Coturnix japonica: one gene and its partner. Each later gene encodes a partner of the first gene's protein in a complex. Links are inferred from orthologs where the notes say so. Each region holds a gene or a part of one and is shown on either strand. Other genes may lie near its edges.

Region 1 (3,464 bases):
GGGCAGATGTTTACATGTTGATGCACAAAGGCCACAATGAGAATAAATATCAATCAGTGTATGAAAATTGAAGTTGCTCCGGATTTCATTCATTCACAACAATAAACAGAGCATGCATGTTGCTATCTGTTCAACAGAGGTAGTTTGAATGCTTCCCTGGCTGTTAAATTACAGAAGTATCTGGAATTGTGTATAGGGGAAGAGATTATAACAACAGATAGCGTGTAGACTTGAATAGGTTGTATATGTAACTAGTTTCCAATTCATAATGAAATACAGGTATGTTATTGGTTGTTACTTGCCAGCAGTTGGGAAAGTAGAAGGTTTAGTATTTCAAACCCACGCTACAATGAATGATTCAACAGCCAGCCAAAGCTTCAACTCCATCATCTTCCATCACTCATTTACAGAGAATATCCAATGCCCTCTCAGTAGAAGACTGCTTTGAAGTCACAGACACATTCCTATTACAGTAATTATCCAGTACTACCGCATTCCTTTTCAGGTTATTTAAACCACAGTATTTGCAGAACAGAAGTATCACCTCTAGCTATCTCTGCTTGTTATCCTTTGATGCAAATGGTTTAAGTGTGTTGCTCCATGCCAGGTAAAAGGAATCCTCGTCCTGTTCTGGCTGTTTCCTCTCTGTCAGATCTGCAGCACAGCCCCCTGTCTCTGCTCAGCTGGGCACACTACCACGTCCAGACACAGTTTCCACTGAGAAATGTCAGCTACAGACAGTGTCAACTCATTCTATCTAGATAACTACGTTCAACTCTTGCTAAAACTGACACTGGAAGAAAAGAACTTTTAGGAGTTTGTATAAATGGGTAATTCAGGTTTCATATCTAATTTATTTGCCCTCTGTCAGTGATAAAGTCATGTTACAAACATTTGCTTTTTAGTACATTGCCTGGGATAACACAGCCGTGATTTTGCTACGTTAGCATTCCAAACTTCTTTGTCAAGCCAACCAACAAAGTAATGGACAAGACCTTTGGTTCACTTATATATTTATGAATGGAAAAAGTCATAATGTAAATTTACTTATTAAAAAAACTTGGGTACAAATTACACATACATAAGACCACCCATTTTTTTGATTCACATGGACACCTTAGACCCGAACAACTCATCGTAATAGACTTTAGTGAGAATACTCCAGGTAAAGATTACAACAATTGGAAGCATCTTGGATTTTTAAAAAAGTATATTTCAATACATAAGTTTGTATGCATGCTTTAAACAAATATAGTTCAAGAATGAGCAAAGAGTCTAAACAAAAAGTAACATGACCAGCACTAACATTAAACTTCTCATCCAGATTTTAATATGTTAGTCTAACGTAGTGTTAGTTACCATGCTGTACTGAAAAATGTAATGGCACAATCTGAATCATGGTTCATTAAATATTATACCCTACTTCCCCAGAATATTTAGGCTGGTCATAAAATTAACAATGCGTAAGTAAATAAGTATAACCAGTTATAGACAGTTGCTTGTTTTACAAATTGCCATCAGGTAAGACATACTGCCCCCAGAGACTCAGAGAGATGGACATTCAATCATACCATTAAAACAGTATGGCCTGAAGAAATGGGCACATTTTTTGGAAAGTATATTAAGACAATTCTGTTAGCTTTTAGTTACCCCTTGTAAATAATCATGGTATGACCGAGTACAAGACCCAACTTGGAAAAGCAATTTTAATCGGCATAGTGCATGATTGACTCAACATAATTCCCAGGAAACAAGCCGGTTACTCGATTGCAAACTCCTTCATACCAGCCGTCATCGTTCTTCTTTATCACATAAATGATTGCACCCTCCATAAACGACAGCTCGTCATCTTTGTCCTTTGTATAGTCATATATAGCAACAACTGTGGATTGAACAGGGAAAATGTTAGCACTATGTTAATAGCACCCCTCAGCATCATCATATTTTGTAAAGACTTGTTTGCCATCCTGGCATTTTCTGTTCTGAATTCACAGTTTTCCCATTCAACATCAAGTCCAGAAAGTGACTTCTCCCCTTTCTTGCAGTCCTGGCTGCCCATAAGCAGTGGGTGGTGACTGCACTAAATGCTCCTAAGCCTTCTGGCATGGGCTGGCTGGGGTGCTGTGCACCAGTGCATATGGCCACCTATAAGCTGGGTTATGCACTAGGTGGGCCTAGTGAATGTGGTGTTCATTTCTGCTCAGACTGCCCCAAAGGCATCGATCCCTGCATATCTTGATTAGAGAAAGCCTTAAAAAAAAAATCACTCTGCAGAAGAAGACCACTAGGAACATTTCTTACACAATAGCCCCTGCAACTATACCATGCCCTGCATGCAGTACAGCCAGCAGCAAGGACTGAACACAGCAGTTCCACCGCTGCTGCCAAGATGGTACCACAGACACATTGCATGCACATGACAGTACCAGCCAGGGCCTGAGAAAACTTGCAGCGTTGCTGTTGACAGACTGGTCACTGCCCTAAAAGAGACAGCTCCATGGGCAGGAAATCAGTCATTCGCGGGAAGAAATGTTTATTGTATGAGTTTATGTCTAAGCACATTTACAGTCTGCTGATGCAGACTCACTGGTATGTCTCACAGACTCACAGAACGGTTTGGGTTGGAAGGTACCTAAAGGCCCATCCAGTTCTAACCCCCTGCAATGTGTAGGGCTCCCACCCAGCAGCTCAGACTGCCCAGGGCCCCGTTCTATCCAGCCTTGAACACCTCCAGGGATGGGGCACCCCCTGCTCTCTGGGCAGCCACTGCCAGGGCCTCCCCATCCTCAAAGAAAATTTCCTCCAAATATCTAACCTAAATCTCCCCTTTCAGTTTAAAACCATCCCTCCTTGTCCTGTCACTGTCTCCATGGAAGGCCCACTACATTTCACAGCAAAAAGCTTCATGGTCTGCTCTCGCTGGCTTTTCAGCTGGATGGGGGATAAAACAGGACAGAGCATGGGCTTTCTGGGCTTTGTGCAGCGCTCTTTCTAGATGACTGCTCAGCAGCCCTGAGGTAGCCGCAGATGCAGTCCAGCAGCTTAGCAAAGATGAAAAGCCATCGGATTCATATCTGCTTCTCATAACTGTTTTGCTATATTTTTTTTATCCCTTTATTCTAGAATGCTTGAAGATATTTTATAATCCTTCTTTAAAAGGATTATGTTTTATCACATCAGGTGTAGCCACTGACAAACTAAGAACAGAACGCTTCGAGTTCTGACTAGCAGGGACAATGACTTTTCATCAGACCAAACTTAGTCATTCACCCCCTTCAGATACCATTAATCCCTGGTGCTGCAGGTACACAGTTGCAGCCCTTCCTACCTTTCTCTATGTAGTTCTTCGGCGCCCAGGCAGGATCTCCATCCGCGTAGGGATCGCTGTACTGCACAACAGCAGCCTCCTCGTCCTCATAGTCCACAGGGGGTGGGGGTGGAGGTGGGGGGGAGTCATCGAACAT
Region 2 (4,485 bases), on another chromosome or scaffold:
CTGAGAAGGTCAAACGCTCTGCTCTCACCTCTGTCCTCCATTCAAAAATAGGCAGCAGACCCACAGCAGCAGCCGCCTGTCCCAGCACTCCCCCTTGCCATCGCTTCCACCCTCACACACGCTCTGGATTTCAGAGCTCGGCTGCTCTGAGCAACCAGCAGGAGAGCAGCAGGTCTCTCACTCCAACTCCCACTTGTTTGTCTTGTATTTTTGGTGTGAAAAAATCTTCTCCAGCTTGGGAACCCTAAATCAGACCGGCAGCGTCCTTGAAACTCGTGTGTGCACACACACTCACTCTCCTACTTTGCAGTGCAGCTGCGTCTGGCAGAAGACAGCTGCCTCCAGCTATCTGTAATTACTTTTTACCTGTTCAGAAGATATTTATGGATGTGGGCTAAGTCTCTGCATTCTGACCCCCTTTGCTTCTACTATGGACAAGATGGAACGACACAGCAGGAGAGAAGGGCTCACACAGCCCACCTAGGTCACATTGGATGTCTCAGTGCAGGCGTGGGAGGCCATGGGAAGCATCCCCAGACCTACAGGAGCCTGCTGCGCCCACTGGGGTGAGAGCCACACACAGATGGATGCTCTGCAATTTGCACTGCAGCCTTCTGGAAAGAAGCCACGGGGCTACAGTGAAGCATAAGAAAAATGCATCACCTGCACAATACCTTGCGTGTTTATGCAGTGCAAGGCAAGCCTTGCCCCAAGGCGGTCACAAAAGTGACAGCAGGTAACCAAACGTATAATTTTCTAGCTATGCTCATTTGTACAGCCTCAAAAGCAAAGTTTCACGTGAGATTTCCTGGGGGATCTCCAACTCTATTTCCTATTGAAGATGGCTACTTCAGTACAGCAGGGGATGGGAAATGACCTCGGCTGGACGGGAGGAAGCAGCTTCCTCTGTAAGGGAACAAGTGCCTACGGAGGTGTTGTGGTGTTACCTGTAAGGGGAAAGAATGTTGAGAGGTGGAGGAGTATTGCAGGTCCCATAGGTTTCAAGGACAGGCACTGGCAAAGAATCTCTGTCGAAGAGCTTCTGGTCCTGAGTTGTAGAACTTTTGAAGGCCTTCCTGGTGTTAATGCCTTGCAGGGAGACTGTAAGAAAGAGAAAAGAGCGAGTGAAGAGCAGCTTGACCCAGGCCAACGGCACTGAGGATCGAGCAGCAAACATCTGATTTCAGCTGGAGTTCTTGGCGTGCTCAGCACTCCTTAAGCTCAGGTTCCTGTTCCCACAGATCTCTCGGGAAGCCCAGCAAATCTCACACAGTGCTGTGACAAAACCTGCTGCTGTACAGACACGGCTCAATAGCTGCCAGCGTGGTTTCAAACCCCTGCAACCAAGACTTGGGAAGTCTATGGGCACCCAACTGCTGAAGGACGAGCTTCCACATGGAGAACTGCTAACAAGGAAATCTCTCCCCAGCCAGATGGATGCTCACATGGCAGCACCGGGCTTCATTGGGAGGGACAGAACAGTCCCTCTTAGTCCAAGAGAAGACATTAACACCAACCATAGCACCATGCTCATTGTAGGGCCATGGACCAGCCGGGCTCCAAGAGAACCTTTACCACGCTTTGTCTGCAGGGACCGTGCTGCACTCCATTACCTTCCTCCTCTTTGGGATCCAGCTGAGTGACTTTGACTTGCAGGCGGTCAACTCTCTCGACAAGAACGCTCATCCGGGAGGCAAAAGTGTTGGCTTGAGTGAACAGCTCTCCAAATATGTCCTCAGCAAATTTACCTGCAGTATTAAAGTGACCGTGTTACCATCATCAGCCACATCAAACCACACGCCGACTCCCACTTTGTCTTCTCAAAGAAAGAAAGAAAGAAAGAAGAATGAGCCACACCAGGGTTGGGTGCAACACCCAAAAAGACAACATTCCCTTCCACCAACACCTGACATTTCTGAGGGATCTCTGGGCCACAAAGAAACAATTGAGACGTGCTTTCAAGCCCGTATTAGAGTAATGAAAAAGAGGGCTGACAACGTAACAGTGGTCTGAATCCGGATGGGTCTGCAGGTCCTTTAAGATTCACTGCTGCTGTTTATTAGACAAGACAACACAGACTTTTATTGCTCTGGAGAAGCTCAAAGGCTCCTGGTCTCCAGCAGACCCGCCTCCAGGGGAACTGGCACATATTTACAAGCTCAAAGAGCTCTGGAACCAGAGAGCAGACCCAGTCCTTGATCCTAAAGCCTGAGCTATAACCGCAGACAAAAGCACTGACCCTTTTGTTCCTTCAGGTGGCAGTGTCTGAAAAATTGATGCATTCACGTTTATTCTAAATCAAAACCAAAAGGGAACTTCTCCAACAGGAATATTCTCTCTGTAACAGCTTGGCTTGCCCAGTGAGCTGCGATGACAAACATCATCCATCGTTTGGATGGTGAGAGCGCCTCGGGGCTTGGACCAGGAGCCTGCTGCACCACTTACAAGTCTAACAAAAAGAAGCCCCCCGTCCTGAAGAGTTTAAAATCTACATATGCAAGGAGACATGACCACGGGTGAACAGAGATGGGTGAACTGACAGAATAAGAAGCTAAAAGGAGCAACGTCCTTAGTGCTCTGCTCTCCAGCATAACCTGAGGGTGGGAACCCCAAATAACCACGCAGAGGACAGCACTGATGGGGTGGGAACAGACTTGGCACTGACAGCAGCCAGACCCACCGAGTTCCCATTGATGGGAAACATTTCCAGGCACGGCTGCTGAGCACGAGGCTGCTCCCAACGAGCCGTCTGGTTCTGTAAGTGCATCATCACACGGTCAGCAGTTTGTTCTGGAATCTGTTAGTCCCAGAGATCCTCTCCGACATTCAGGGAAGGATAAGCAGTGGGAAGGCCGACTTTAACAGCAATGCTGGAAAATGTGGCTGTCTGCAGCACGTCACAGGGGAAAGATCCCCTCCACGAGGCACAGCAATGGCAGCTGGTAGTGCCTGTGCAAAGCCTTCCAGCAGGGCTGAGCTGACACCCATAGCAGAGGTTGCTCATTCCCCCCCTGTTATCAGTGACTCGTTCACAATGCCACGCAGTTCTCCTTACACTGCCAAGCACGGAGAACGAGGCAGGTTAAAAATCAACCTCCCCCACCCTTTCTGGTGGCAGTGCCAGCTCCAAGTGCCTGCAGAAGGTAAAAGCTGGATGTGAACTGCAGCTGACCTCCCTCGGCTCACCTGGACAGCACTGACTCCACGTATGCTCTGCTAACAAGCCCAGCCAGCTCTCCCCAACCTCATGGGGAGGACTGCAGCCATGGAGACCCAAGGGCTGGATTGCACTCACTGCAGCCACGTTTCACCAAGCACTCTGTGCTCACCATCAGCACCAGCTCTCCTGTTTGACCAAAGGAAGTGAACACTTACCTACGTGATCATTTGTTGCCCCTCCCAGCAACAGCCCACAGAGCTGTAATTTGGTTCTGTGTTAATGAGAACCGAGAATCAGTTCCAAATCTCACCAGGAACTGCAACAAGTAGAAGGGAAGATACCAAGTTTGTGGTGCTGAGCTGCATGTTTCAAGCACAAAGAGCACTGCACGTGGTGTCCTTAGCCCCGTAAGCAGCAGGGATGGTTGGTGTTCCCTCACCTGTCTAAGTGCATCAGTCCTGAGTTACCATTCAGGATCTGGCATACGCTTCAGTGCTCCACGTGCAGTTTTAGATGGGGAAAGGCAGAGATTCATTTTTGGTCTCATTACTTTGACTGTTGCAAAAGTGCAACTCACAATCAGAATGATCTCTGTCACGCACTGGCAGGAAGACAGGCGGTGTGATTCAATAGGTCTCTCCATCTTTAGCTCGTGCATTCCATAGCACTGCACAGCCGGCTTATACAGAGCGCTACCAGCTGTGATAGTAACGAAGGGTAAACTCACTGGAATATGAAAGTTTGACAAGATTTATGTTTGCATCTTTGTAAAGAGACTGTGGTGCAGCAGGCATGGCTGATTATTCACTTGACAGAGCTGTCACAGCCTACTGAACCTGCTTCGCATTCCCTCAACGCTCAGCGTACGAAGGAGGAGTGGATTTCTTCCTCCAAAGTAAGAGAGGTAAAGGAGGGGGGCAGGACTTTGGTCAGCTGGCTGCGAGTGCTGTGCAGCACCGAGTCTAAATAGCTTCATTTAAAGCACCGCTGACCACAGGGATGCGGATAAGGGATGGTGCTCATTATCCCCCCACATGCCCTGCTCTCCTCCAGGTACCTGGCTGCATGCAGCTCCCTCCCTGCACCACGCAGATATCACAGGGCACCTTCCTAGCAAAGGAGCCTGGCTGCAATGTGGCTCCCAGTGCTTCACTGTGTCCAGCTGAGGCAGCCATGGAGAAGCTTTGAATATCTGAGCTTTGCAAAGACGGCCTAAATCTGCAGGATCTCACCAGGGCTCTGTCACACTAACCCGCTGCATGCCTTTGGACTGGGATTAGCTTTCTCTGCAGCTGAGATCTGCACAGCTTTACTGCCTCCTTCCT

Evidence for each region.
Region 2: ABI1 (region 1) and WASF2 share a complex: the UniProt entries of both Homo sapiens proteins name them as parts of the WAVE2 complex. The link is inferred for Coturnix japonica from reciprocal best matches to the Homo sapiens genes ABI1 and WASF2.

Annotation. Positions count from the first base shown.
Region 1 is NC_029517.1:14,562,565-14,566,028, reverse strand, and holds the end of ABI1 (abl interactor 1), read right to left. Parts: coding exon 3,329-3,464; intron 1,883-3,328; coding exon 1,707-1,882; 3' UTR 835-1,706; downstream 1-834. UniProt on the Homo sapiens protein: May act in negative regulation of cell growth and transformation by interacting with nonreceptor tyrosine kinases ABL1 and/or ABL2. May play a role in regulation of EGF-induced Erk pathway activation. Involved in cytoskeletal reorganization and EGFR signaling.
Region 2 is NC_029538.1:1,775,218-1,779,702, forward strand, and holds part of WASF2 (wiskott-Aldrich syndrome protein family member 2), read right to left. Parts: intron 1,749-4,485; coding exon 1,614-1,748; intron 1,102-1,613; coding exon 948-1,101; intron 1-947. UniProt on the Homo sapiens protein: Downstream effector molecule involved in the transmission of signals from tyrosine kinase receptors and small GTPases to the actin cytoskeleton. Promotes formation of actin filaments. Part of the WAVE complex that regulates lamellipodia formation.